7 linked regions of the Danio rerio genome follow. The main gene of each other region encodes a partner of the protein of the gene in region 6 in a complex. Links are inferred from orthologs where the notes say so. Each region holds a gene or a part of one and is shown on either strand. Other genes may lie near its edges. The genes, in order: supt7l, tada3l, dr1, taf5, wdr5, kat2a and tada2a.

Region 1 (4,253 bases), on a different chromosome or scaffold from region 6:
TGGTGTTGCCATAAACTTTGCAGATCTCTCGCATACTGAATGTAACCCCAAATCATGATTTTTCCTTCACCAAATCTTGGGTCCATGTGGGTTCCAATAGGTCTTCTGCAGTATTTGAGATTATTGGGATGCAGTTCAACAGATGATTCATCTAAAAAAGTCTACCTTCTGCCACTTTTCCAAGTGATCAACGAGAAGTCAAGCTATTATATGTTGCTCATACAACTGGGATTGATGACAAGACTTTTTCTTTTTCGGTAGTGTATTGTGCAGCCCTAATAATCACCATTTATTATAGATCATATAACAATTGTTTAGACCTTTAGAAATTTGAATGAATGAATGCCCTTACTCTTATAATTTACATAAATAGAAAACAAAATAGGTCCCGAAATAGAACCTGGAGAAACTCCTTTAGTTAGGTCAAGAAAATTATGTGATCATTTTCATGCCCAAAATCAGCACTGTTATGTTCATGATCAAGTGAATTAAATGCCTTGTGTACGCATGTTTAGTGAATGAGACACAATATTAGCCATGTCTCACCTGCAGCATGTAGCTGTGATAATCTTTGATACGGACTTGCCAGAAACGCTGTAGTGCCAGGATGCTGCCGATGCCCAACTCATGGAATACCTGCTCCAATACATCAGGGAAGGCAGTAGAGCCCTGGCAGGCCTCCCTGTCAACAGCCACACGCAGCAACTTGGTGAGCCGCAGATAGTGTTCATGAACCAGGTCAGTTAAAGTCTCCAGTACGCTTTCGTTGGCTGACTCGAATCCAATATGAGCGAGCACTGTGGCCACTGACTGGTACAGAAGCTGACGGCAGGATGGCCAGCTAAGCTCAGTGACTGGCTCACCTTTACCTCTAAAAACAGTCAAATATAGAGAAGTTAGAAAAACAGGTAAAAGACAGAAAGCAAAGGATATTGAATAAGAGTCATATAGACCAGTGTTTCTCTGCCACGTTTCTGGAGGACCACCAACACTGCATGTTTTCCCCGTCTCATTAACCAAACACATCAGATTTAGATCATCAAATCATTAGCAAAGACTGAAAGACCTGCAATGGGTGTGAAAGGAAGCTTTCTGCAGGTTTCAATTTAAGACATTTTTAAAATTTATTTTTAAGACTTTTTAAGACCATTATAAATGAAATTTTAGACTCATAAAGGGCTAAATGCTAATGCTAAATTTTAGACTCATAAAGGGCTAAATGCTAATTTTTTTAAATGGCCTAGATGGAAAATATTTTTATTTGCCCTATTAAAAAAGTATAATAATTTAATATATTTAATAATGCAATAATAAATGAATAATAAAAAATGTATACACTTTAGATACTTCTTAACAAAGTATACAATGTTTTTCCAACATAAACTTTCTTTAAAATAAAAAAAATAAACAAATGTTTAAAAAAGTTTTTAAACCTAAAATAGACTAAATCTATGCACAACAATCTGTCCAGGTCTGTGTCCTCAGCTGTAAATACATGGAACACTTCTAACAAATGGTATTGTAAGGGAAATAATAAAACCATTATGGTAAATAAAGTTCAAAGATACCTTTTTAAATCTTTTTTTTATTTTTTGACCTTTTTTAACCTTTTTTTATTTTTTAACCTTTTTTAGTTTAGTTTTATTGAGATGTACTGTTAGTGTTGGTTAAGTTTTTGGGCAGTAATGCATTAACAAAGGAAAATTAAGACCTGTTAAAAAAGATTTAAGACCTACAGCACAATATTTCAGTAAATTTAAGACTTTTTAAAGCCTAAAATTTCGATTTTAAGATTTAAGACATTTTTAAACTTTTTAAGACCCTGCAGAAACCCTGGAAAGTCAAAGGAGACATCTAAAACATTCAGTGTTGGTAGTCCTCTAGGAATGTGGTTGAGAAACACTGATATAGACAATTTTGAGGGATGCAAATAAAAACAACAGTCCCAATATTTTTCCTGTTTTATATTTTTTCATTTCTATAGCTTAAAAGAGCCACAAATTGATAAATATTGATATACTAGTTGTTTTAACATTAAGATATGCTTAAACTGCCTCTTGTTACAGTTATGAAATAGTTTGATAACAAGCAGGAAATGTTCATGGTCAATGATATGACCACATTGAAATAATCTAAAAAAAAAACTAATAATAGAAATGTTTCAAATAAGCATGTTTACATTTGTGGCTGTCCAGTGTTTTGAATATATCACTGGAAAGTGAATTTGTTGAAATGTAAATATACAAAAAAGTTTAGATTTTTAGGCTCATTCACAAGTACTTGATAATCGTAGAATTAATACAATTGAAAAAATATATATATATTGTGGCTCAGTGGTTAGCCCTGTCACCTCACAGCAAGAAGGTTGCTGGTTCGAGCTGGGCCAGTTGGTATTTCTGTCTAGAGTTTGCAAGTTCTCCCTGTGTTTGCGCGGGTTTCCTCTGGGTGCTCCGGTTTCCCCCACAGTCCAAAGACATGCGCTATAGGTGAATTGGATGAACTAAATAGGCTGTGGTGTATGAGTGGGTATGAATGGAACAGTGTATGGGTGTTTCCCAGTATTGGGTTGCAGCTGAAAGGGCATCTGCTGCGTAAAACAATAGTTGGCGGTTCATACTGCTGTTGCAATCCCTGATCAATCTGATCAAGCCGAAAAAAAATTAAAGAATGAATAAATTTGATTAAGTCCAGAGATTGTTTTTTTTATTTTATTTCTCAGGTTAAAGGTTTGTCATATTGCATATGCTGTATGAAACTGTGTGACATTTAAATATCTTACTCATCCAAACATATATTCTACCAATGATAGAAAAATACTAGGATGATTAAACGAAGTAAACAAATGAGAGGTGTGGGTGTTTGTGGATGTGTGTGTGCAAGTGTGTGGGTGGGTTGTGTGCAGCAAAGCAGCCATATCTGTTTTTGCTTCCATAGTAACAGTAGACCCTTTTCACATTTCTGGGTTTCTTAGTAGCGGAAGTTGTCATAGTTGGGTAAACTTAGACTGCAGTGAATGGGAGAATACAACAAATATTTTTTTACAATCTTATTTGCTCAAATAATGAAAGAAAAACTCCATGATGATGTTATAAAGACTTTCATAAAAATGAAAATTGTTGTGTGAAACTGATAACGGCAGCCAGAGGGGAGAATTATGTTAAATTTACTATCCTGTCCAATAGACGCTTCATTAGAAACGCCTCGCACAAGCAGTAATTTGTTTTTTGTGATTTGAAGCAAAGATTATATAATACATATATAAAAACATTTAAATATTCATAAGTTTTTTTTTTTATTTAAATATTAAAAACGATCAAGGATTTAAGATGCTGATGACCGTCTTGTAAAAAGGGTCCGTTGCCAGAACTACCTGGTAATTTTGCTAAATAATAAAACAGTATATTTCTTTGAATTGTTATACTTTCTAATAAAAGTATTTTTAAAGAAAATGTGTTTAATGTGTACAGTAATGTGTAATATATTCAAAAAGTTCTAAAAAAAAAAAAAAAAGCATTAACGAACTGAAGATTTGGCTCATCGGCTGTCAATCTGAAGATAGGATGATTTTATTTATAAAAATCATATGTTTACAATTACCAATATGCAATATTAAAGACGCAAGAAACTATATATTGTATTTAATAATGTAAAATAGCTATTTTTATGTATGGGAATGTCATATTTTAAGTTTAGAGATTGGGGTTCATTCGGGTTCGTTTGATTGACAAATTGGCCTAATTTTGGACTACTTTGGATGGCCAATGTGCTATTTTTGTTGTGAAAACCTGGCAACCCTATTTTTAACTTACTTGTAGAAATCACTCTCTGGGTCACTGTGGCGTAGCTGGAACGGCAGTCGAGGCGCTTTACTGTCTAGTGGAAGCAGATCATCAGGTACAGTGGGTGTGGGAGGTCGTGGAGGCAGAGCATCTCCTTCCTCAGGTTTAAAGGCACTCTGGCCCTCTAATAACGTGGGCAGGGGTTGCTGGCCTTGTTGGGCAGCAGCAATGAGACCCCGGAGACGACGAGCGTGCTGGCTCAGCTGCACCGTATGGATTGTTAGGCTGCAGGGCTCAGATGGGATATCCAGCATGGTGGTTGGACGAGGACGCTGTGCAGAAGGCTGATGTAAAGGAGGGTCCTGCATCTCCACCTGCCGGAACTCACGCTGGAGAAGGTCAAAAGAACTGCGGCCTGATGAAGCTGAAGCCACTGGGAGCTCACCCCAATAACGCATCATCTTCACACAATGC
Region 2 (4,253 bases), on a different chromosome or scaffold from region 6:
TTGCATGCTAAATAAGTATATAAATGCGACAGCACATGTTTATAATACTTATTTTACTAATTCCTTCTTCTACTACTATTAAAATCACAGTTTGTAAGATTTGGGCTCTTTTTTTAATTAACTGAAGAGGAACAGAGTTGAAAGGGGTTTTATTTTTGTGCTCCTCTCGTCTTTCACTGGTAGTAAACTAACAGTTAGAGGGGTGTGGCTAAGCATATTTCGCTCAAGGCGTCAAATCGACATTACAGAAGGACTGTCATTTCAAAGTGGAAGCAAATGATTTGGTTAAAGATTACAAAACAAACAGTACAGTGGGTATAGAAAAGAATCACCCCCCTTCAAAATAATTACATTTTGTTGCATTGTAGCCTGAAATGAAGACAGACAGAGTTTTTGTTTAATCTACCTGTGTTTACTTAGTGCAACTTATAACACCCAACCAAAAGATATAACACCAACATGTCTGAAAAAAAATCAACATATAAAAAACTAAATCAATGGGTTGGAAAAAGAATCACCCCTTGATTCAGTATTTGGTTGAATAACCTTGTGCTTTAATTACAGCCTTTAATCTGTTGGAATACGTTTCTGCTAACTTTGACTTTGAAATATTAGCCCACTCCTCTTTGCAGAACTGTTCAAGTTCAGTTAAAATGTGATGGTGTCTGTTGTGGACTGCAGTCTTCAAGTCCTTCCAAAGATTTTCAATGGGGTTTAAGTTTGGACTCTGACTTGGCCATGCCAGGACATTCACCTTTTTCTCCTTTAACCACTGTGTGTGTGGTCAGTTTTTCTGTGTGCTTTGGGTTGTTGTCATGTTGGAAGGTAAACCTTCTTCCAAATGATAACTTTCTGGCAGAGGGCAGCAGATTTTCCTCAAGAATTTGTCGGTATTTTGCCCCATCCATTTTTCCTTCTATCCTGACAAGTGCTCCAGTTCCTGCTGCAGAGAAACAGCCCCAAAACAAGATATTTCCACCTCCATGTTTTACGATAGGGACGGTGTTATTTAGATGATGAGCTGTATTGGAGTTCCGCCAGACATATCGTTTGGTGTTGAGGCCAAATAGTTCAAATTAAGTGTCATCTGACCATATTTTTTTTCCCACATGGCCACAGAATCTTCTAGTTGCGTTTTGGCAAAGCTCAGTCGTGTCTGTATGTTGCTTTTCTTGAGAAGAGGCTTTTTTCGTGCAACCCTTCCATACAAGCCACATTTGTGGAGAATTGTTTATATTGTTGTCACATGCACACAATGACCACTCTTTGACATAAATTCCTGCAACTGTTCAGAGTTGTTGTAGGCCTCTTGGTTGCCTTTCTAACCATTTTCCTCCTGGCTCTTTCATTCAATTTGGAGCGACATCCTGATCCAGGAAGGGTCTGTGTTGTACCAAATACCAGCCACTTTTAAAAAAAAAATGGACTTCACTGTGCTTCTAGGCATTGATAAAGCATTTGAATTTTTTTTGTATCCATCCCCTGACTTAAGCCTGGCCACAACTTTATCCCAGGAATCTTTTGACAATGTCTTGCCACCCATAATTGATGGTTTGCTTCAGTTGCACTACCTAGGGTTAAAATGCTACAATAAAGCTATTTTCATGCTGAGCTAATCAAATTGACCACCAATGAAAGTGAAATGGCATTGTGTGTCGTTAAGAAGGTGATTAGCTACACCTGATTGAGTTTACCAGAAATTTTTAGGAGGAGGTGATCCTTTTCACAACTGAGTGATTTTGTTTTTATGCTTGTTAATTGTTTTCTGACATGTTGGTGTTATATCTTTTACATAGATGTTACACATTGCACTGAATAATTTCACCTAGATAAAAAAAAACTGTGTCTGTCTTAATTTCAGGCTACAATGCAACAAAATCTAATTATTTAGAAGGGGGATTATTCTTTTTATACCCACTGTAGCTATGTTTCTAACCACCTATTTTTAGGCTCAAAATATTTTAAAATGAGCATAAGACATGCGAATAACTGAGTAGGACATTTTATTCAGGAAAAAATTAGCATAAACTGCGATGGAAACGCTACCAAATAAATTCTATTGTGCGCATTAAAAGTCATGCGATTTTGTTATAAGAGATTATGTGATGATGAAAACGTGTGTAAATGAACAAACCAGCTGGCTGAGCACACTGTAAAACAAAAACAAATTCAATTTTTACTGTTGATATTTGGCGAAACTTAATCAGGATGTGACAATTTTGTTGTCTTTGACTCGTTGGATGGAAACGCTGCTTTATTCGCATGTCTTTTATGTGATATTCCAGTTTTCTGCATGCATTTAATTTGCATCTTCGCATGGAAATACGGCTACTTTATTTCTCAGTGCAATTAATTTGCATTTCATGCAGATTTTAAAGTTTACTTAAACCATGAGCCGGATTACCAGATATCTCATGCCAATAACAGTCTTGATGTTGATCTGATGTGTTTCAGCAAGACTCACTTGAGCAGCTCCAGTTTGCGTGAGCGGTTGTGTGCGGTCAGTGCTTTAAGTTCAGCTTGTCTTTTCTGCAGTTCGGCCAGCACCTCATCTTCAGACTCTCCTCCGACCCCTTGCCTCTCATCAGAGTCCAGCAGCCCCTGAGACACCAGCTCTTCTCTTATACGAGCCTCCAGAGAGCGTGTGTGAGGTACACTGAACACACAAAATGCTCAATTCAGCAGAATTCGAAGACGGAGAAATAAAAGATTACTAATTGATCTAAACTAATGAGACTTTCTATATTGCAAAGTCAGCTAAATATTTGCTATGTTATATATGTTTACTTTGTGTAGCCGTTGACTAGTAGCCACCATTAGTGCTACTAAATACTAAGATGTTAAAGTAAAAATAAAAATGACACCTGATTTTATTTATTACTTCTTTAATAACTATATTTACTATTTAAATCAATTAATTGGAAGCTTACCTGAACAACTAATTGACTGATCAGTCTTAATTGGCTCTATATAGCCATAAATATATATATTTATGATGTATCCTATATTCTACTGCATTTGTGTTTGCATGAGATGTGTTCTTCTTTTCAAAAAATTGTTAAAAATATAATGAAATTTTTAGAGAGACGGTTTCTGGAGGTGTTGAAAGCTTGTGGCAAGACACTCAGCGCAAGACATAACAACCAAAAATATCCTGTAGCACTGATGCTATTCAAGGATCACATTTTACCATAACAATAGTTTAGTATTAAGTAAAGATTGTGTAATATTAAGAAGATAATAAAAATCGTACTGTATTTTCCATTAATTAATGCAGCCTTACAGTAACAGCAGTAACTTTTTCAAATAAACAAAATAGACAAGCTAATATAAATCTTATGAAAGTCAACTTTATGTTGACTAAATTCTAAAACAAAAATTATGAAAATCAAGTGACAAGACTTGTTTTTACCTGAAGGCTTTCCCCTGGCTACGAGGTGACGTACCAGCTCCATCATCCTTCCCTGGAATGTCTGGAATGGGGGAATCCTCCATAGGAGATATGATGTTCTCCTACATCACAAAAGAATATGACTGAAACACTGATATAAACCAAGCAGTCAAAAAGCTGAAAGTATTGCACTATATAATTTGCAAATGAGGAGTCGCAGACCTCAACAAGAGCTTGTAGAAGTCGCTGAGTGAGCGGACCGAAGGGGCATCCGTCCTCTGGAGACTCATGCTGAGACTCAGATTTCTTCAGGAGGGCATCTACATCTAGACACGGCAGTATAATACAAGAAAAAGAAACAGATTTAAACAGGGTTACTCTATGGGTCATGTAATACCATTGAAATTTAAAAGTTTATTCCTGACAATAAAATTCAAGGAATTTTTTTTTTTTTTTTTTTTTGTCCAGGTTATGGAATATCATAGAGTTTTGTGTTTGTCATTTAAATTGGAATTTCTGTTTATAAAAATAAAAAATATAAATGGTTTCACATGCTTTGCCTATTGTTATGGTTAGTCTTTTTCTGTGCCATTTTATTCCTTTCCCACTCATCAACCAGCAATCAAATGTATTAAACCATTATGATTTTGAACATCAAGCAGCAAAAAAGTTGTTTTGTTTTGCTACAAATGTATGGAAGTGAGTGAACATCAAGAAAAGAAACCAAATCAAGTAGAGGGTGAGTAAATAAAAACGTATAATTTTTGTATTACATATCCCTTTAAAGACAACAATTCTTTTACGGGAATCAGTTATCTTCCATACCTTTAGCATCAAGTTCAGAAAGTGGACCCATCATGCT
Region 3 (4,253 bases), on a different chromosome or scaffold from region 6:
TGTAGGTGGAGTGGAGAAACAGTGGTAGAGCCAGTTCGGTGATTGAAATGATTAGGAGGCCATGATCGTAAGGGCTGATTGAGGGATTTTGGCCAGCACACTGGGGTTACATCCCTAATGTTTTTACGAAAAGTGCCATGTGATTTTTAATAACCACAAAGAGTTTAATGACCTTTCAGTTTTATGTTTCATCCAAAAGACGGATAAGGATAAGATTATTTTAAAATATTGAAAAATCTACTGACCCTAATCTTTTGATTGGTCGTGTATATTATGGCCAAACTGACTCGATTATGCATTTGTAAATAGTCACAGCTCCAAATAATTTCTCCCTGTAATTTGTGTGCATTTTGAATTCAACATGTTTCGCCTTGCGCATTTAACTTCCAGTGTTAAAATTATGTTTTGGTAATCGCTAATTTTCCAATTTATTTATTTATTTTTTTACAATTTGCAACTTGTGAGATTAGCGTAGAATTTATATTAATAAAAAATACACAAAAACAGGCTGTCTATAAAATGGGTTGACTTTATTGCTTAGAGAATACAGCTTTTGCAAAGGCATGTGAATACGTTTCTCAACTACACCATACCAGTCATCACAAGATATGAATTAACCACACATTCACAACTTTTACACATTGCACCTGGAAAAAACAAAACATAATCTGCTATCAAAAAATTGTACAAAGTGTGAGTTACAGAGAGCTCAGTGATGTCTGCAATTAAACGCTCTCATGTCATATAGAGAACAAATACCATGAGCAGATTTCTGAAAGCCTATCCGGTGACTGATTTGTTAATTATTTTTTCATAGTTTCATCTATCTTTGGTACTATGAGACAGATATTATTCTGCACGTGTAAATCTTTTCCTCGGAATACTGTTCTGAACACAGGGCAGGTAAAAGCCTATCTACATCATCTTTATCCTCACTTGAAAGTAAAAAAAAAAAAAAAACGAACCAAAATGCAACATCCTACATTACAAATCACGTTCTCTGATATCGCTCAGCAGAACAAAGAGAAATACAGAAGTGGGGATGAACGGCTGTAAAAATCAGTTACCAAAAATGTTCCCCAATTGTGTCTCTTTAAGCTATTTTACAAAGACAAATATAAGAGAAATACGCAAGTCACCTAAAACAGGACGCAGCGATTCAAAACGCCAGCTCCTGTATATAACCAATGGCGTGCCTCGTGTCACAGCCACATCACATGACTAAACATCCTTCCCACACACATACACAAAGAAACTTATGACAACTGGCTTTAATTAAATCACAAAAAAATAACTGGAGTTTCAAGAGCTAATGATTCTAGTTAACAAGTGAACTGACGTGAACGTAGCAAAAAATAAAAACAAAAATGAATCACAGGAGATGACCCATGACTGCTTCTAAACCGTCAGTTTATACTGCTGATCTGGGATTTTAAAAGTTTATATAGGAGACAATACTGCAGAGCTTCTTCTCTGCTAAGGTTTACGGAGGGCTGAGTTGTGTGTGGGAGACAGTACATGTCTGTATGTATGTATATATATGTATACATATATGTATATGTATATGTATATATATATATATATATATATATATGTATATGTATATATATATATATATATATATATATATATATATATATATATATATATATATATACATATATATGTATATATAGATATCTATCTATATATATATATATATATATATATATATATATATATATATATATATATATATATATATATATATATATATATATATATATATATATATATATATATATATATATATATAATTTGTAAATCTATCCGTGTGCTTCAGCCAAAGCCTGCCAGGATTCACATGTCGTCCTCTTCATCTTCATCCTGGGAAGATCCGGCCTGCTGAGTGGAACTGGCCGAAGCCGCAGCTAACTGTGCCTGCTGGGCGGCCTGCTGCATCTGTAACCACTCCTGCTGTGCCAGTTCAGCCTGTTGCTGCCGTGCCTAAAACACAGCAACACTCATCAAAAGCCATGTGGAAGCTTGTTACACAAATATGACAAGTTGTCTATTCAATTTGTAGGCAATTTACAGTGTTGCCAACTATTTTCAATGAAAATGTGCTAAGCTCTGCTTACATCAAATACATCAATTTGCATTTTACTGACATCATCACGTCCAGTAGTTTTTGTTTAGCAGTCTATGGTTAATAACAGGTTATTTATATTTACACTAGGCTTTATATGTGCAATATATGTCAATTTAACTAAATGTATTGTTTGAATACAGTATATCAATATAGATGTATAATGAATTTGCAGTAATCTCCCAGACACAATAAACTCACAAAAGTTCAGAAACTCACTAAAATCTCTCTGATTGTGAACAAGAAAAAAAAAAACAGCCAAATTAAATTGTTAAATTTAAAACAATGGAGAAGCAGATCGGTTTGACTAACTTTGCAAAGAAAATGAACACCACTGGCTGCTAGTGTGCTGATGACATCACTGACAGCGTTTCAAGCTTCCAAGGGAGCATTTAAAAATATAGTCAATTAGCTGAGCAGATTGATAACTCATCTGCAAGGTTCAAGTGAATAGAAACAGAATTTTTCATTTTTTTAATTTAATAACTCTGAAAAAAAAACTAACAAATCCTCAACACCTGGACATTTCCTAAATATCTGTGTATTTTTTTTAACATTGATATTTTTTTAATTGACAAAACAGTAAAGAACTGAGCATTTCTACCTTTAATTACCGTATAGGTCAAAATGACTGCATGCATGCCAGTTACTTTTCACTGTGACTGTAAATATAAATGCATTTTTTGCCTAGCAACTTCCTTCTAACATAAACATAACTTTCTGCTTGCAAAAACTCCAGATATATCTTTCAAAACTGCATTTTCTGTGTCATGAAATTGCTTCTGTTTGAAAGTGAAAATGAAGGCCCAGACCTTTGCGTGTTCTAGTATTTAACTAAATATTTACAAGCTGTATTACTGAAAAAAATAAAAGTTTAGGGTAATGGTGTGAAAATGTTGACAGGCATTCAAAGGCTAATTTTAATATCTTAAAAGAAGTTTAGAATGTAAATATGATGTGACAATATGATGTTTTATATGAGAATGGTCAGAATGACCAGTATACAGAAAAAGCAATGATCCAGTTACAGAATTCTAGTTCCACTGTTATTACAGCCTATTCTCGTGTCTGTGTTAACACAAAATGAAGCGAGTGCATCGATGCCCATTCTGGCCAATCACAGACATTTCTGTTGAGCTCCTGAGCACACGTTCAGCTCATGCTGATATGCTCTCCCTCATTGGCTGCAGCTCATCACTTCATATGAACGCGCGTGGGGTCGAGTCGGCCGACTGCTCTGGAATATTCAGCATGCTAGATATTGTATTTCTGTCTGCGAGGTGTCATCAAGCCTTTTTGATCCGTTATTCAGTAGTTCATAAATAAGACTGCAGAGCGCCGAGCACCAGGAAATTGTTTTTCCCGATCACAGTCCGATCTGTCAGCAAGCTCGTTAACTTTCAAATCGGGCTCAAATCAGGCTTAAAATCCTTTAGTGTGAACTAGGCTTAAGAGTCCATAAAAAATCTCCAGTAACACCAAAAAAAGTTGCTAGATTTTTTGTTAGTCGCTTTTTTTTTTTTTTGGAATATTTGCCGCTAAGGGGGTCTGAAAAGTCACTAAGTTGGCAACACTGGTGATTTAATGTAATTTGTGTACCTTTTTGCATTAAAAAAAAAAAAAAAAAAAAAACGAGAAGGCACCAACTGCTAAGCTAAGAGTGAAATCTTTAGAATTAACCATTCGGCATGCATTTTTACCTTAGCAAATAATTCCTGTTGTTGGCGGAGAAGTTCTTCCTCGGGAATGCCAAGGTTCTCTAGTCGAGAGCTGGCCTTTCTTCTTTTAAGTGCTACAGTTTTACACTCCTGCAGAACGTCTTTTACTTCTGCGATGTATGACCCAAATCCTAGACTTTCCAGTGCTTAAAAAAGAAGAACACATATAATGTTATTTAAGAAAAAAAGTATATTTAAGTGAAAAATTGTAACTACAGTGAAAATATTCACTGTAAATATTCACAAAAAATATTTTTCAGAACAGGAAAACAATTACATCCATCCATATGCTCCGTAGAAGCGAACTTCAAGGGATAGTTCACACAAAAATAAAAATAAAATTTGCTTAGTTAAAAGGCTGTTTCAATCCACCCTCTGTGATGTATATTATTTATTTTGGTAACAAG
Region 4 (4,772 bases), on a different chromosome or scaffold from region 6:
CTCGTGGTTGTTGTAGACCAGCTCCAGGTACATGTGGACGAACAGAGGGTAGAAGAGCTGCGAGAGCTCTGCCCGGTGACAGTCCAGCACCGACTCAATGAACTTCTTCAAGTCACTGTAATACACCTTATACAGAGACGGGTCACCCTGCTGGCTGTACGCTGACAACACCACACTGACATCCGGCTGGTCGTCTCCACCTGCAGAACACAACAACAAAATGTCTGTCAAACCACACCATATTTCTATATATATATATATATATATATATATATATATATATATATATATATATATATATATATATATATATATATATATATATATATATATATATATATATATATATATATATATATATATAAGGGGCGCTGAGAAACACTGTTGATGCAACTTATTTTGTGCAGAATAAAGCGAAGTGGTTAAGAATTATTAAAAATTGAAAAAAATAATAATAAATAATAATAAAGTTAATTTCTTTTTCTAAATGTGTACATTTCTTTCTACGTAAAAGAAAAGAGAAAGTAAATGTTTAATAGTTGATCTATGTTGTAAATCAATGGAATGCAACGATTTACATCACAGACTATCCACAGACTCTGACGTAAAGCAGCAGCTCAGTGTTTCAATAACATATCGTCCCTCATTTTTAACTTATGTGTTAAATACATGTCAGTGACACGGCACTTTATCCATAAGCAGTTTCTAATTTTCCCATTGTGCCAAATAAAAGTATACTTGATGATTTACTCGACATTCATACCTCTTCAAAAGGGGTCATTTCTAAATCTTTACTATTATCAACACAAAACAGTCCCCCACAACACATGTACTGAGGGCTTTTTGAGAGGAGGAACTGAATTTAACAATCGCTGAAAATATTTGTGATCTTATTCTTGCAAGAATACATTCATCATCAATAAACGCTGGGCATACTCTCATACAATTTAAAGTTGTGCACAGAATACACTGGTCTAGAACAAAACTGAATAAAATTTTCCCTGATCTTGACCCAACTTGCCTTCGCTGTACAACCGAATCAGCCACACTGTTACATACTTTCTGGTCGTGTTTCAAACAGTCTGATTTTTGGGGGAAAATCTTCAGGTGTTTTTCTGCTGTTTTTTCATTGTCAATAGACCCAAACCCCTTAACAGCGCTGTTCGGAATCCTGCCAGAATATGCTGAATTAAATTCATTACAGGCCGATAGCGTAGCCTTTGCAACCTTACTGGCTAGACGACTTATTCTTATGAATTGGAAGTCAGCAGCTCCCCCTTATCGGCAATGGGTTTTGGATTTCCTACATGCTCTTCAGATGGAAAAGATTCAATTTACAATAAAACAAAAGCCAGAACAGTTCCAGAAAGTCTAGAGCCCTTTTATGCATTTTTTTTAAAGGAGACACCTATATCTTAATCGCCTTTTTACCTTTTACCTTTCTTTGTATTGTTTATTAATTTTTTTATTTATGTTTTCTTATGTTTGTATATCTTTGTGTGTAAATATGGTATTTTACCTTTTATTTATAAACTTATTTAGAGCATAATTATGTTTTCCTGATAATTTCTTGTTTGGTGAAGTGTATCAGTGTATATATCTATATGTATCATTACTATGTATATTTTAATGTCTGACCTAAGATGAACCTAAAAAAATAAATAAATAAATGAAAAAAAAATTAATTATTAAGGTTTTATATATATATATATATATATATATATATATATATATATATATATATATATATATATATATATATATATATATATATATATATATATATATACATATATATATATATATATATATATATATATATATATATATACATACATATATATATATATATACATACATATATATATATATATGTATATATATGTATATATATATATATATATATATATATATATATATATATATATATATATACATATATATATATATATATACATATATATATATACATATATATATATACATATATATATATATATATATATATATATATATACATATATATGTGTGTGTGTGTGTGTGTCAGTGATAAGAAACAAGTGTCATCTATTAAAACAACTCGATAGTGTATATAAACTCTAATTTTAACAGCTACTGGGATCATTTAAATGTCATTATATGCATCAACATAACAGCTAATAAAAGGGGTATAGTTAAAGAGTAGCTACAAAGTGATGTTTTAACTCTCATTGCTGGTTACAATGTTTAAAGTTCATGTAAAGTGGGTTATGATGTATATGTAAAAAGTGAAATATGTATGCGAGTCGGTTATATGACTGTGTATATGGTATATGACAATTAAACTGTGAATAGTTTGTTTATGAAGAATTCCGTAATGACTGTATATTAAATGTGCAACAATTTTGTGCAGGAAAATTGTCTGTAAATATTCAGAAAGTTTTTGAGATGTATATAATATTGTTTGTGAAGATGTTTTCATTTCCCAGTGATGGGTTGCAGCTGAAAGGGCATACGCTGCGTAAAACATATGCTGGATAAGTTGACAGTTCATTCCGCTGTGGCGACCCCTGATTAACGAAGGGACTAAGCCGAAAATAAAATGAATGAATTAAAGAAAGTTGTTTTCATATGCTGTGTTACAATGCTGTGAAAGTATACAGCTGAGTTTACTCAAAGAAAAAAAAAACAATACAGAAGCAGTGTTTCAATAACATTACTGTCCCTCATCAGGTGGTGAGGGTGCTACAAAAGAACTGTTTTACATCTTCTAGAAATAACTACTGTTGATGACTCTGTTCTAGTGCATTTAATCATTCAGTGGGTTTAATAAAAGTGATGCCCCAGCATCAGTGTGTGTCTGCGGCTGTCACTCACTCTTCGCAGGTATGGGGGTGAGTGTGCTCTGCGGGGCGGCTGCACCGGCGATGGACACACGGCTGAGCAGAGTTTTTGTATCTCCTGCGTCTCCGTCCTTCCCTCCTGCACCGGCGTCGGTATGCGAGTCCTCCAGCTCCTCTGCTAAACCAGCCTCCCGCCGCAGGATCTCCACCGATTCCGCCAGTTTACTTCGCTTCAGGAACTGCAGCACCGCGAGCAGAGTTTGCTGGTCCTCCGGCTTCGGGGCTCCGGCGGCCGGGGCTGCGGTGAGTGGCGATGAGGACAGAGTCCCGCCGCCGGTGTTCCCCGACGGATTTGCCGTCCCATCGCTGAGGATTTCGGGTTTTGTCTCTTTCTCTGCGTCCACCTCCATCGGTCCATCCTGCACAGCCGCCATTTTTCCCCCGGCGCTGGATGTGATTACGTCATGACGCATGTGGTACGTCTGACGTAAATCTGACGTTTTATTTTTATTTTTTTTTCATGTGAACTTTAATTCATTAAACATATACATCATTATATATCTAAGCAGCATATAATAAACAAAATAATATCCATTTTCCTTCGGCTTAGTCTATTCATCAAGGGTCACAACAGCGGAATGAACTGCCAACTTATCCAGCATATGTTTTACACAGCGGATGCCCTTCCAGCTGCAACCAAGTACTGGGAAATACCCATACACACCCATTCACACACATACACTACGGCAAATCAATTCAACTACCGCATGTCTTTGAACTGTGGGGGGGGGGAATACCTGGAGTAAACCCACACAAACACGGGGAGAACAAGCAAACTCCACATAGAAACGCCAACTGACCCAGCCTGGACTCTAACCAGGGACCTTCTTGCTGTGAGGCGACAGTGCTAACCACTGAGCCACCGTTTCACCCTACAAAATAATAGTAATAACAACATTACATCATTCTAATAGTGCGACACGGTGGTGCAGTCGGTAGCATGCTCACCTCACAGCAAGAAGGTCGCTGGTTCGATCCTCAGCTGGGTCAGTTGGCATTTCTGTGTGGCATTCAGTTTGCATGTTCTCCGGGTGCTCCGGTTTCCCCCACAAGTCCAAAGACCTGCAGTACAGGTGAATTGGGTAAGCTAAATTGTCCTTAGTGTATGTGTATGAATGAGAATGTATGGGTGTTTCCCAGTGATGGGTTGCAGCTGGAAGGGCATCCGCTGCTTAAAACATATGCTGGTTAATTTAGTGGTTCATTACGCTGTCGCGACCCCAGATTAATAAAGGGACGAAGCCAAAAAGAAAAAGAATGATATACTAATACAAAGATATAAATCTGACGTTTTGTTTTTGAATGAAATTCTCTTTCATTTTATTTGATTTTTGTCTTGTTTTCTGTTATGATTTGGATGTCATAATTGCAAATTTGTGTTATGGTTTTATTTTTAAATATTCAGCATGTGCAATAATATATATATATATATATATATATATATATATATATATATATATATATATATATATATATATATATATATATATATATATAAAGATATAAAAAATATACATATAAAAAAACAAAAAACAAATGTGTGTCACTAATAAAGTTTGTGGAATAAAATTATACATAAAATGTATCCAGCAATAACAGTGATCTCTCAGAATTTTGTATATACTTTAAAAACTAAACTCCTTTTTTGTAATTATGGATGTTTTTTATTCAATTTATTTAAATTTTACTTAAATGTTATATTATTATTATTATTCTGTCTTTCTGTTGTTATTTGAATGTCTTCACTGCATGATTTTGTTATATTTTTGATTGTTAAACGTTCATCATATACAATGAACAAAACAAGGGAAGAGAGGCTTGAATGTGTTTTTAGTTAAATTGTTGAATATATGATAGATGTATATTGAATTGCTACATATAGACATACAT
Region 5 (4,003 bases), on a different chromosome or scaffold from region 6:
TACTAATTTGTGGATCTCTTTACTTCCGGGTGCAGCTATACTGCCGTTGTGGCTGGTGTATTCTGGGAAATTTTCTTCCCCTTAGTTTCGAGTTTGGTCCTAAAAAAAATTTCCATTCGAAGGGGCATCTACCCCTTGCCCTTATCCCTATGCCTTCAAGCTAAAGAGACTTGAGTAATAGAAAGGGCTAAAGGGTAGAATTGGACCTTAAAGTTAAAGGTTCATGAAACACCAAAACACATTTTTTGTTATGTTGACAGTCATATATGTGTTCTAATAAACACTATAGACACATATTTCACAAAAAAAAAGTGATGGTTGTTTTTGCTTTATTTTAAGCAAATTTGTTTTCTCAGATTTGAAACTAATTTTTGAAGCTACGTCATGGCAATTAGATCCTTATGTGTAATCCAGCATGGAGAGTGGATGTCTGTACTGGCAAATACATCCGAGTCCGAATGTGCAGCATTAATTCATGAGAAAGACTTGGTTCAAACCAATTAGCGCGCTCTATTGTGAATGAGGTGCAACTTAATTAATATGCACGATAGCTTCGAAGACTGTTTTTACCTAATAGAATGTTCAGACTGCAGAGAGACACCACGTTGTGTTGCCAAAAAAATGGAAAAACAAGAATTGTTTGGAGACATGGGTTGTCAGTGCTTTTTTTTAGAAATGTGCTGCAACAAAGGTTTTGTTTCAATTTCGTGCTATGAGAGTGCAGCTGGACTCACTTGTGGTTTACAATTCATGCGACAGAAATATATTTGTAAGGAACATTTTTTACCTGAAAGCTTTTCGCATAAGGAAATGGGGAAATCTGGATTTGCCACTTGTATCCTTTTAAAAAAGATGCGGCTCCAGTTGGTGTTGATTGTCTTGTCTCTACAGATTTGTACTCTTTCAGTTTTTAGAGACATACCTTAGTCAAAATGATTTAGTTACTAAGTTTACAGTTAGTTAATATCAATAGAATATTACAGACTGAAAGATCCGATGTAAATGCTGCTCTCCGAATGTAAACACCACAATCAAACTATTACCGTCATATAGAATTTTTGCCGCATTTTGCGACAGGATAGCAAGCGCTGATTTTCACAGAGGCAAAACAAAAAAAGACGCAGGGGAGAAAGACAGTGACTATGTTTACATGGACATCAGTAATCAAATTATTAGCCAAATTAATAATTTTCAACTTTAACTGCAGTTTGGCAATTTTACTTTCATTCAGGAACATTTCATGCATGCCTCCTGTGACAAATACTGGATGCAAGGAACTGCTGGAAAAGTGTAATTTTAAATGGAATGTTATCTAGTGAATTTGACACATGAATGACGCAAGTAAACTCAAATATTCACGCACCATTTATTCGCTCATGCCGCATCTGGTGTGAACTAGGGTTGTGCGATTAATCTAAATTGAATCGCGATTTTAAACGTTACAATTAGCTAAGTCGCAAGAAGCTGCGATATGAAATATATATGTATTATCTAATTTCCCCCGCCCAGAACTTGACTACTACTTCACAATTAGATATTTTCCCCAAATCGCACACAGCATGGTGAACACAGTGTGAGCACAGCATTATAGCAATCCGGCAATACACGTTTAAACCATTTCGATCTCTACATATGTGCTGCATTTGGATTAAATTGAATTATGTTGTAGTTACATTTAACATTGGTCAATTAAAAACTACAAAAAAAAAAAATCTAAAATGAAAATCGTGAATCATTTAAACAAACCTTTTTTGACATTATTGCACATCAATAAAAATATCACTCAAACACAACAAATTTGTAACGTAGCACTGCTTACCTGGAACTATTAGCAGGAAGTGCATTAAGCTCTAGGTAAAAATGCTTTGCTAACATCCACTGAACTTGCTCTTACCTGTGTGGCCCTGTAGTTTCTGTACAATCTCCTTGGTCTGAAGGTTCCAGATATAGACCATGTTATCTTCTGAGCCGGAGACAATCCACTAAAAATAAAGAGCAAGCCTTTATCACCATTTCAGTTCACATGCTCATGTCGAAAAGTTTTAGCATGTCAAGAGAGGCAATGGATTAGAAAAGTGTAAAGCCAACAAACCTTTCCACCAGTGACAGAGAAATTAGCAAATATGCAGTACTTCTCGTTTTTATGACCGGTGTAAGTTTTCAGACACTAAAAAAAAAGAAAATATTATTGTTATACACCGATTGAGAACTTTTTTATTATTAAAACAATGCACTAAACAAACTGAGAAACACTTACCTTTCCTTTGCTGTAGTCCCAAAGCTTCAAAGTACTAAAATATGAAGGGAATGCATGTGGATTAATAGAATTTACTTTAAAGTTTTCTTCTTTTTAAATAATACAATTAAATGTTGAAAATATCAAAATGTCCTTGACTTACTTGTCCAGAGTGGCAGCCAGGATGTACTTGCCATTGGGGGAGAACTTCACAAATGACACTGGTGGGTTGTCGTCATCTGATGAAAAATTGGAAATGTATACATTTTAATGATTGTTTATGCCTCTTTTAATGTCTTTCTTGTTACTTAGCGTACCTTAAAATTAACTGTGTTATACTAGTTTCTTATTAGCCTAAAGTTATTTATGCATATCAGATAAGAACAGATAAACACAAATGATTGCCATTTACACAACAAATCTAACCTTGTTTGTAGTCATTTTAAATGCTGATCAACTTACCAATAAGTGTTTTAAGGCACTGGCCTGATGCTGTGTCCCAGATACGACTGTTTAAGTCAGAAAGTGGGTATGATTGTTAGCTTTTTATTTCTGAAATATTTTTTCACTCTTGATTTTTTTTCATAGTCAAAGTTCACTCACCAAAGTCCATCATAACTGCTGGACACAATCAATGAGCCATCTCTATTGAAATGAACCTAAAAAAACAAACAAACAAAAAAAAAACAAATACACAATTATAATTCAAAGAAATCACTTAAATTGATGTCAGTTGTACACAATTGTGAATTGAATCATCCAGATGAAGTAAAAAAAAAAAAAAACACTAACCGCAGAGACAGGGTCTGAGTGTGCTGGAAGTGTCTTCAGACATTTCCCCGTTTTAACATCCCAAATCCTCACACTCTCGTCAAACTGCATTGGAGAGAAGAATTAACATGTATTAGGGGTACAATGTATGAAGTCATTAGCTATGTTTCCATCCACCTATTTTTATGCGCATATGCAAAATAACGGTTGATATAATAACAGTAAAAAACGGTTGATGGAAACGTCATGATGCGCATGAATTTTGAAAATGTGCATAAAAAAATTATGCGCATAACTGAGAAGGATAAACATTATGCAAGATATGCATAAACTACAGAGGAAACGCTTTTACTACACAAATTACAGTATGCACAATTTAAAAAGGTCATGTGATTTTGTTATAAGAGAACATGTGATAAAAATCTAAATCATGTGATTATCATGTGATAAAAACCAGCAGGCTGAGCACACTGTAAAACATTTGAAATTTAGTTTTGGTCATTCTAAAATGTCTTACCGTTTAATTATCAGTGTTATTATATTATTAATGATCTCCAGAATCAAGAGTGTCTGTGCTCCGCGTCTGACACCTTAAAACGCCACCCCGCGTTCACTGCATGTGAGAATTGTCTTCTTAGGCGAAAGTCATTAGATCAAGAAAAGATTGATGCAGCTTCTCCAACTGCAGCAAATTTAGTTTTTACTGTTGATATTTGGCAGCAGTTAATCAGGAAGTGTGTAATTTGTTCGCTTTGACTTGTTGGATGGAAACGCTGCTTTATTTGGACGTCTTTTATGCGACAATCCAGTTTTGCGCAAAAAGTTAATTTGCAGTTTTGGATGAAAACAGCTCTTGATTACAGTTTTCAAGAATAGAGAAACAAAGCTACAACTCTGAACTCAAAAGACAGTTTTCTATTGCAGAGAAGGGTATTGTTTGGCGCAGCTTTTACATTTACATTTTGGATTTACACTGAAGTTTAATACCAATTAATG
Region 6 (4,946 bases):
TTGTTTTATCTTGCTTCCCTCTCCTGTTTGTCTGTTTCTGAAAGGATGTCAGAAGCACTTCAATAATCATGCGCGTGTTAACATCATCAGCTCAAGTTCGTTATATTAAATATAGACGTGCGGCGAGTGATCGCGAGCTCTCTGGAGAAAGTAAGACCACTCGCGCTTTTAGACAGCCTCGTAAACAACAAGACATGGCAGATTTTGTTCGTCTTGGCTTTGAGGCTGTTCATCCAGACATCATAGTCATAAATGTCATAGTTAAAGGTTTGTTAATAGTGAGAATTGAACCACAAATTCATTCGTCAAGTCATTTGGTAAAACTGAATAGATAAAATATAATCGCAATACATACAATTGAAGTCAAAATTATTAGCCCCCCTGAATTAATAGCGCCCCTGTTTATTTTTTTCGCTAATTTCTGTTTAATAGATTTCACATTTCTAAGCATAATAGTTTTAAAAACTTATTTCTAATAACGTATTTATTTTATCTTTGACATGATGACAGTAAATAATATTTTACTTGAAATTTTTCAAGACATTTCTATACAGCTTAAAGTGACATTTAAAGGCTTAACTAGGTTAATAAGGTTAACTAAGCAGGTTAGGGTAATTAGGCAAGTTATTGTATAACAATGGTTTGTTCTGTAGATTATTGAAAAAAAAATTGCTTAAAGGGGCTAATAATTTTGTCCCAAAAATGTTTTTTTTTTTTTTTTTAATTAGTAACTGCTTTTAATCTAGCCGAAATAAAACAAATAAGATTTTCTCCAGACGTAAAAATATTATCAGACATACTGTGAAAATTTCCTTGCTGTTAAACATCATTTGGGAAATATAAAACAAAATCTAATCAAATCAAAAGGGGGCTAATAATTCTGACTTCAACTGTACATATATCACAGGAAAAAAATATATATATTGCAATGTTGGATTTTTCTAATTTTGTGCAGCCCTAATCCCTGCTAAAACTTATCACCAGTCTTCTTCTTGATAGCAAACAAAGCTTCATGGACCTGTATCATGTAATTTGGCTTCAGGCGTACTCACACTGCTATCTGAACCGTGTCCAGGCCCATTTCCCGGTTCGTTTTTAGATGTCTGCGTGTTCTGAATCGGGCTCAGGTGCGGTTCAGTTGGCCAGCCCTGGCCCGTTTGGAAGAGGTGTGCCAAAGTGCTTCTCTTGGGCTTAGGTGCAGTACACTTGTAGTGTGAGTGCAAGTACACCTGAGCCCGAAACTGAAGACATGACGTGACTTTTATGGAATTGTTTCATATGTGTTTAATAAACATTCTTACGGTTCAATGAATGCAAACTGTCGTAGTTTATAAAAAGACTTAAACCCCTCACTGCACATCAGCTGCACCTTCAGCAAACCTCCTAATACCTGCAGCACAAGGAATTTATGACTGTTTATGAGCGTCAAAAGTGGCTGATCTGTTCGGCGAATTATTTGACTGTGTGTCACTGCATCTCAAACGACTAAAATTATATAACGATATAAAGGAATCTCTACTGTGCTGAGCGAGAGCGTTTCTCTTCTGTTAAACTGAACAGTCGCATCATCGATGACGTAAGCATCTCCGGCTCGGATACAATGTATGTGCAGGCCATTGGGGGAGAGGGAAGGGGACAAGCGTACTTCGGCACATGTTCAAGGCAACTGTACATAGTGTGAGTACACCCTTAGATTAGCTGGCTAACCAGTTGACTTTCAGTTTAGTTTGTAACAAATTCTGAATTTAGATACCATAAAGGTAGCTCATCTTAGCTTTGCTGCCCTTTAATACCATGGCAAACACTAGTGATTAATGTTGAGCTGCCTTCATATTACTAAAAACCCAAGATTGGTGCAAACTAAACCAACATTTAACTGGCTAGTCAGCTAATCCAGCTTCACGGTAGAGGCCCCAGGTCTGATTCTTCCTACCCAAAGAGTGTCCACAGCTTCGGCAGGTCTCCGTCAGACTGGCGGCCTGCTGCTGGAGCTCCATACGAGCCGCTGTTGGTGGATTGGGGTTTTTCCAGCCATTGCACTTGCAAGCATCATTCGCCTGAGATAAGAAGAGTGCAGAGGAATCAGACGCTAAACATCAGAATAACACAATCAAAACATTCAGAGTGGCAAGTTTATGCAGTGGTGATAAAAGGATAAAATACACTACCTGACAAAAGTCTTGTCATCTATCCAAGTTTAGGAACAGCAAATAATAACCTGACTTCTAGTTGATCATTTTGTATCAAAAGTGGCTTATATGAAAGGCAAAGGTCTGTAGATTAGTTATTTTCCTAAATAAACTATGATCATGCCTTGTTGTATTTGTATTTCATTAGGACAGTAAGGTCTGACTTTGCTTAGACAAAAGTCTTGTCATTTAACAGAAATAATGTACAGTATAGAATTTAAAGTCATGGTGGAGTGGAAAAAGAAAAAATGTGTTTTCAGACCAAACATTTAAAGTACCATGGTAAACAATACAGGGAGCATGTCATTAAACGAATGTACCGATAATTTAAAACCAACTTTACCTCAATAGTAAATAGTGAGTAAATTTTAATCTCTTTAACGCAATTTTTAGATTTTCGAGCTAGAAATGCATGCAAATGAATGTCTGCTTAATTATATATTGTCTAATTTGCACATTTAAACACAACATTAAAGAAAAGCTTTAAGTAAAACTAAAAAATAGCAATAAATGTGGATGTATGGTGAAAAATGTTAGTAAATTGTTTTCCCAATTAAACCTGCAGTGCCTCATGTTTACCCTGCGGTATGTCATGTTTAAGTTTATGAGTATTATTCTTACATAAACAGCATTAGTAAGAGGTAAAAAAAAAATCGTGAGTGTGGATGAAGATGTGACACATGTCAGGCCCGGTTTCTCTCTCTGTCTCTCCATTGTTATGAGGCGAGCTCTCGGTTACCTTGCAGGATGAAAACACTCCGAGTTTCTCCAGCTTTTTCGCCCGCGGAAACGAACGGACTTGGGCTTTCTTCTGGCTGGACCATTGCTGTTGGCTTAGGCCCGGTCGGGCCGGGTCGCTGCTCCCGGCTCCGGGGTTCGAGTTGGAGCCGGTCGGGCCGCTGGACTGCGCTTGCTGAAGCCGGGGCTGCGCGGAGCTCTGTGCCGCCGGGTCCGCCATAACAGCAGCCACACTTCCCCTACGGATCTCCGTGCTCACTCACTTCCCCCCTACGGATCTCCGTGCTCGTTTCCAAACCGGGCGGCTTGAATAAAGTTTTGTGATGGTTTTCGACAATGAGGGGATGCTGGGAAATGTAGTATGCAGTAGTTCGTAATTAAACGCTACAACTTTCCACTGGGGGGCATTAAAGAGACAGTTCGCCGACACCCTCAATTGTTAGTCAATGCAGGTTTTTCGTCTTTCTTCACAATATCCTGTTTTATCAAACTTCTAAATGTTTGGAAACATTTGAAAGGTAAAGGTTCATTTTTTTTGTGTGAACTATCCCATTAAACACTTCCCTGCTGGAAAAAACTGCTTAAACCAGTCTAGGCTGGTTTTACCTGGTTGGCCAGGCTGGTTATGGAGGGGTTTCGGCCATTTCCAGCCTGGTCATAGCTGGTCAGGCTGGGAATGACCAGCTAAAACCAGCTAAACCTGGGTGGGAGCCCAAAGCCAACTCTGTCCAACTTAAACTTATACTTAAGGCTGGGTTTAGCTGGTTTCAGCGGGTCATTTTCCAGCCTGACCAGCTAAGACCAGGCTGGAAATGGCCAAAAACGCTGGTTTAACGCTGGTTATTGTTGTACCAAATCACTTATACATGTATTCATAAAACATATATTTATATCAGTGCATTTATGTTAATTAGCAGAATGTGTTTTGATGTTTCAACGGCACCATTTTAATGTCTAATAATAATAATAATAATAAAATTATGTTTGAGTAAAATGTGTGTGCATGTGTGAAGGGTTGGACAATGAAACTGATAATTCATTAGTATGGTGTAGGGCCTCCTTTTGCAACAAATACAACATCAATTCATTTTGGAAATGACATACAACTGACTCACTCCTCCAAAACAACCCCAAAGTGGCTCAGTAATATTTAGGATGGGTGACTGTGCAGGCCATGGGAGATGTTTAACTTTGTCACCAGTCCTGCAGTGTGTATTGGTGCATTATCATCCTGATACACCACCTTCAGGATACAACGTTCAAATAACTGGGTGGACATGATCCTCCAAAATAGTTCGGTTGACCTTGGCAGTGATGCACCCATCAAGCACAAGTATTAGACCTGGGGAATGCCTTGATATTGAAGCCCAAACCATCTATGATCCACCCCCTATGCTTCACTCTGGGCATGCAACAGTCTGGGTGGGATGCTTGTTTTGGGGCTTCTCCACACCGAAACTCTCCCGGGTGTGGGAATGACAGTGAAGGTGGACTCATCAGACAACAATACGTTTGTCACATTACATAATAACAACATGCTGATGTAAAAATTGCATAAAAAATTACACCATCTATATTCATAAAATCATAGAAACTTCTACTTGCATGATAACTTAATCATGACTGACTATGAATAACATTTAGTGCCAAAAAAAAGACTATAAACAAAAGCACCGACTCTTTCACCAACATTTAAGAAGTGCATTAAAGTTTAAAACTGCAAATATTCTCCTGGACTCACTATATTCATAGCAGGAAAGGGAAAATACCTCTGAATTAGCACGGATATTAATATATAAGAGGTGTCCTGGTGGCATAGTGGGTAGCACTTACAGCAATAAGGTCACTGGTTTGAGCCTCGGCTGGATCAGTTAGCATTTCTGTGTGAAGTTTGCATCTTCTCCCCATGTTTGTGCGAGTTAACATGTGCTCCGGTTTCCCCACCAAGTCCAAAGACATGTGGTATAGGTGAACTGGGGAGGCTAAATCATCCATAGTGTATGTGTGTAAATGTTTCCC
Region 7 (4,253 bases), on a different chromosome or scaffold from region 6:
AGGCAGGGGGATTCATGACTCATGTAATAATACATTTTAACATAAAGGAAGCAGTATTGTGAGTGAGTGAGGAAGAGATCTTACATGGCAGCTTGTTTGTGCAGCCACTGCTGGCAGGCGCGGGTGTCATGAATGTACTGCAGGACGTCACAAAGCATGTTCCTCTTCCTGCGCTCATCCTCTCGTGTGCGTTTCACTCGCTCATAGACTTTAGCACCTGCAGACCAGATGACAGGTGTCACTTCAGATATGAACATAGATCTCTGTATGTGAGATCTGGCTAGCATTATCAAAAAGCTGTGGTCAGAGCGTATGGACCATATTCAGATGAGATAGTGCTTGATTCTGCTTAAATCATCACTTGTTGACTGTGTTCTAATTTAAACTGCCTCTACATGATTTGGAATTACCATCCACAAAAAATTTTAAGTTGATCTTTTCTAAACATTTGTAAAAATGTAAAGGAGTGAAAATTGTTCACTGATATCTAAATAACAGGTTTGTGGCTCAGGTAAGCAAAAAAATAAATCTCCAGAAACAATCTTTAAGCACTTTTACTCAGTATACGTGTGTTTGTTGCCTCATCACAAATATACACAGCGAATTATATACTTTAAACTAACAAAAGAGAGGAGTTAAACAGACCTTATGCCTCTTCAAGGTGGTGCTGAATACGTTTTTAATCCGTATATCCTGCATTTTGCTTTCTGACAAGTTGTGAGCACTTAGTGGTCATGCATAGCTGCCTACTTCACTAAACTGTTCCTTTTTTAATCTCCCTGCCTGTTCCTATTTTCAAAACAAGAGACCCACATGCATAGTATGTTTAATACAAGCTTATATAAAGTTAAAAATAAGGGGAAAATAATAATTGATGTAATCTCACTAGAAAACGTTGTGGCCAATCAAACACTGCCTGGGGCGTTCATTTAATTGATTCTGTGTGGATTGTCAGAGTTTGTGTTTTGTTCCAATTGGCCGGATTTTCACTGGGATTTTGCACTCACAGGATTTGTTGGAGAACAATAACACATTGATATTTGAGGCTCATGATATGTAATTTCCATGAACTCTTATTATTCAGCTATGCCTAGGTATATCCAAAATGTCATTCTATGGCACATTTAAGAATTTTCTGACAACTTGAATGTTACTTTCTCAACTCAATACTAGTCACATATTGTTTATAATTAATTATAAGACTTTGCGTATCATTTAATAACTCTATATACTTTATAGCTGTGTATATTTTCACATTTATTAACTTTTTTTTTACCTTGTACTGTTCTGAATTCTGGATTATATTGAAAGGAACCACTGTCAAAAAAGTGCTCCAATGTGTTCACCATTGGTGAATGTGGTTATACTCATGACAGGTACTATTTGGTCATTACTAAGTTGGCAACCGTCAAATGTCATTTGGGAAACGGTTTGAATTTCTGGTTAGTAAAATACTGGCACTAAATTCATACACTATGTGTGTAAGTACATAAGTACACAGTGAGTAAGTGCATGGTGTGTAGTATCCCGTACTTATGACTTTTCATGACATCTGACCAATCAGAACATAACAAAGGGGGTTTAAAAAAACTGCATTAATGAACCATCTATTTTATTAACTGTGTGAAATGAGCTGAGACTACAACATACCGACCACTTTATTAGGTATACCTGTTCAACTGTACGTTAACCCATAATTTTAAATTAGCCAATCACATGGCAGCAACTCAACGTATTTAGGCATGTAGACATGGTCAAGACGATCTGCTGCAGTTCAAACTAAGCAACAGAATGGGGGAAAAAAAATTAAGTGACTGTGAATGTAGCATGGTTGTTGGTGCCAGATGAGCTAGTCTGAGTATTTCAGAAACTGTTGATCTCCTGGGATTTTCAAGCACAACCATCGGAGGATATTTGAATGGTAGGGTCAGAAATTGGCGTCAACAACATGAAAGCATAGATCCATTCTGCCTTGTATCAATGGTTCAGGCTGCTGGTGGTGGTGTAATGATGTGGGGGATATTTTCTTGGCACACTTTGGGCACACCAGTACCAATTGAGCATTGTGTCAACGCCACAGCCAACCCGAGTATTGTTGCAGGCCATGTTCATCCCTTTATGACCACAGTGTACCCCTCTTCTGATGGCTACTTCCAGCAGGATAATGCACCATGTCATAAAGCGTGAGTCATCTCAGACTGGTTTCTTGAACATGACAATGAGTTCACATTGTCCTCCACAGTCACCAGACCTCAATCTAATGGAGCCTTTTGGGATGTGGTGGAATGGGAAATTCGCATCAGTGACAAATCTTCAGCACCTGCGCGATGCTATCATGTCAATAAAGACCACATTCTCTAAGAGATATTTTAAGTACCTTGTTGAACCTATTCCATGAAGGATTAAGGCAGTTCTGTAGGCAAAAGGGGGTCCAACCCGATACTAATACATTTTATATGTACCCAATAAAGCGGCCGGTGAGTGTATATAATGATAAAACGAAAGTGATTTTTCTCCTTAGTGAATGAAAAACCTAATTTTGAAAGCTTAAAAATAGCACCGTGGCACTCTGATTTATGTTACCTCCTATGATATGCTTGTGATTGAGGGTGCATCTTACCGCAGAAGGACTGTATTCCCTCGCTCCTGTACTCCTGCAGTCTGTGGATCTCCCTCCGCAGCTCAAACTCCACTGTGAACAGTTGATGACAGAGAGAAACAGAGCAGATGGAGCGCTGAACTTTTCACCCTGGCTGATTCAGACTAGTGGGGCGGACAGACTGAACTCAGACTGAGTGCTGCTGAATGACATGAGGGCTTGTTCGTCTAAATCTAGCTGTCCTGCACACACTCACTGAACCACAAAGACACACAGGGCTAGATTGATCTCAGGTCAGCTGAAGTCTGGTAAACTAGCGAGTCCGGTAACAGCAGTGTTCTGGATTTCTCTATATCGAGTGGTTGAAAAGAGGGTTAAATACTCACAGGTGTGACTCTCGATGAACTTGTCGTGCTCTATTGGTCCCACCACACGCGCAAAGCGTCTCATGACATCATAAAGGTCCTGCACTTCCTTGGGATAACGCCTCTCCAGAACTGACAACACAGTAGATGCACAGAATTAATCAATCAATATTGGTGGGCGGGGGGACCGCACTCCTACGGCAAGTTGCGGTCGCTCTAAGAAACCGCTCCAATTGGTCCACCGTTTTTGTTGTTAAATTGAAAAAAAAAAAAGGACTGTGTGTGTTTATATCATCCCAATATGACGGTCTATACACTATACTTACACATCTGTCCAAACAGCTTGAAAAGTAGATTTTTTTTTACCATAGGTGCCCTTTAAAATCTACATCGAAAGCGGAAAAAAACAGTCCTCATAAAGCCGGCGTATCAGTGCGCTGCTACATTGAAAACAGGATTGGATTCGCACCTTCTGATTGGTTCTCGGGATATAGTGGCTTTTGCTGTCAAAGGCAAGTGGCGTTTAGCTGCTTATTAGATTGCCTAATAGATACATTTTGATCGCCACAAAAAGGAGACAAAATTGAAAATACAGACAAATCTGTTGACTCATGCATTTTACGTTCACTTTTAAATTTGCGCACTAGAATATGGATTGTTGTGTAAACTGCATGACTAGTTAAAAACATCATTCAGCAACCAATGAAGCATTTCAGTAACTGATCCTCCTAACAGTTTGCCTTTTGTTGCTGTATGCCATTTTGAGTTTTAGGCAAGTTTGTTGTGTTTGTTTCTGACATTTTCAGAATGCAATAAATTAGTTTAATATATAAATGTGCGTGTAAGGGGAAACACGTGAAACATTTGAGGACACAGCGAATGAAATTAAAGGCAGAGGAATGCAGCTTGCAACATCTTCTGGCACTTTTACTAAGTACATTTACAAGGACACCAATACTCCGATTTTAATATGATTCAGACAATACTCTGATTAAGAGTTCACCATGTAAACAGAAACTTTTGATAACCCTAAAGGAACACAGACACCCGCGTCACAATTTAATTTTATTTTTTTCCCATTCGGTGTGCGGTATCAAAATCCATTAAAACTACACTCTTCCAGCAGTCCTTACTTCATATTCGCCTCCGATACCTCAGTTTTTTATGGGGCATGAACAATATGTTGCTAAATAAAAGTGAAACTGACAAACTGCAGGTACAGTTGAAAAACTATGGTGAAAAACTGGTGATGCAATGACGTTAATCAATCCTTGTGCTATGACATGTAA

The links.
Region 1: kat2a (region 6) and supt7l share a complex: the UniProt entries of both Homo sapiens proteins name them as parts of the STAGA transcription coactivator-HAT complex. The link is inferred for Danio rerio from reciprocal best matches to the Homo sapiens genes KAT2A and SUPT7L.
Region 2: kat2a (region 6) and tada3l share a complex: the UniProt entries of both Homo sapiens proteins name them as parts of the STAGA transcription coactivator-HAT complex. The link is inferred for Danio rerio from reciprocal best matches to the Homo sapiens genes KAT2A and TADA3.
Region 3: kat2a (region 6) and dr1 share a complex: the UniProt entries of both Homo sapiens proteins name them as parts of the ADA2A-containing complex. The link is inferred for Danio rerio from reciprocal best matches to the Homo sapiens genes KAT2A and DR1.
Region 4: kat2a (region 6) and taf5 share a complex: the UniProt entries of both Homo sapiens proteins name them as parts of the TFTC-HAT complex. The link is inferred for Danio rerio from reciprocal best matches to the Homo sapiens genes KAT2A and TAF5.
Region 5: kat2a (region 6) and wdr5 share a complex: the UniProt entries of both Homo sapiens proteins name them as parts of the ADA2A-containing complex. The link is inferred for Danio rerio from reciprocal best matches to the Homo sapiens genes KAT2A and WDR5.
Region 7: kat2a (region 6) and tada2a share a complex: the UniProt entries of both Homo sapiens proteins name them as parts of the ADA2A-containing complex. The link is inferred for Danio rerio from reciprocal best matches to the Homo sapiens genes KAT2A and TADA2A.

Annotation. Positions count from the first base shown.
Region 1 is NC_133192.1:44,182,195-44,186,447, forward strand, and holds part of supt7l (STAGA complex 65 subunit gamma), read right to left. Parts: 5' UTR 4,241-4,253; coding exon 3,810-4,240; intron 872-3,809; coding exon 547-871; intron 1-546.
Region 2 is NC_133186.1:18,282,189-18,286,441, reverse strand, and holds part of tada3l (transcriptional adapter 3), read right to left. Parts: coding exon 4,217-4,253; intron 3,718-4,216; coding exon 3,614-3,717; intron 3,514-3,613; coding exon 3,413-3,513; intron 2,657-3,412; coding exon 2,465-2,656; intron 1-2,464. UniProt on the Homo sapiens protein: Functions as a component of the PCAF complex. The PCAF complex is capable of efficiently acetylating histones in a nucleosomal context. The PCAF complex could be considered as the human version of the yeast SAGA complex.
Region 3 is NC_133181.1:26,447,015-26,451,267, forward strand, and holds the end of dr1 (protein Dr1), read right to left. Parts: intron 3,993-4,253; coding exon 3,829-3,992; intron 1,987-3,828; coding exon 1,840-1,986; 3' UTR 1,625-1,839; exon of another isoform or gene 1,595-1,624; 3' UTR 514-1,594; downstream 1-513. UniProt on the Homo sapiens protein: The association of the DR1/DRAP1 heterodimer with TBP results in a functional repression of both activated and basal transcription of class II genes.
Region 4 is NC_133176.1:52,726,703-52,731,474, reverse strand, and holds the start of taf5 (transcription initiation factor TFIID subunit 5), read right to left. Parts: upstream 3,289-4,772; 5' UTR 3,257-3,288; coding exon 2,857-3,256; intron 201-2,856; coding exon 1-200. UniProt on the Homo sapiens protein: The TFIID basal transcription factor complex plays a major role in the initiation of RNA polymerase II (Pol II)-dependent transcription.
Region 5 is NC_133196.1:19,691,424-19,695,426, reverse strand, and holds part of wdr5 (WD repeat-containing protein 5), read right to left. Parts: intron 3,113-4,003; coding exon 3,029-3,112; intron 2,896-3,028; coding exon 2,840-2,895; intron 2,746-2,839; coding exon 2,699-2,745; intron 2,476-2,698; coding exon 2,400-2,475; intron 2,292-2,399; coding exon 2,258-2,291; intron 2,168-2,257; coding exon 2,093-2,167; intron 1,983-2,092; coding exon 1,895-1,982; intron 1-1,894.
Region 6 is NC_133178.1:16,326,335-16,331,280, reverse strand, and holds the start of kat2a (histone acetyltransferase KAT2A), read right to left. Parts: upstream 3,245-4,946; 5' UTR 3,148-3,244; coding exon 2,929-3,147; intron 2,058-2,928; coding exon 1,934-2,057; intron 1-1,933. UniProt on the Homo sapiens protein: Protein lysine acyltransferase that can act as a acetyltransferase, glutaryltransferase, succinyltransferase or malonyltransferase, depending on the context.
Region 7 is NC_133190.1:18,240,296-18,244,548, reverse strand, and holds part of tada2a (transcriptional adapter 2-alpha), read right to left. Parts: intron 3,097-4,253; coding exon 2,986-3,096; intron 2,693-2,985; coding exon 2,621-2,692; intron 218-2,620; coding exon 85-217; intron 1-84. UniProt on the Homo sapiens protein: Component of the ATAC complex, a complex with histone acetyltransferase activity on histones H3 and H4. Required for the function of some acidic activation domains, which activate transcription from a distant site. Binds double-stranded DNA.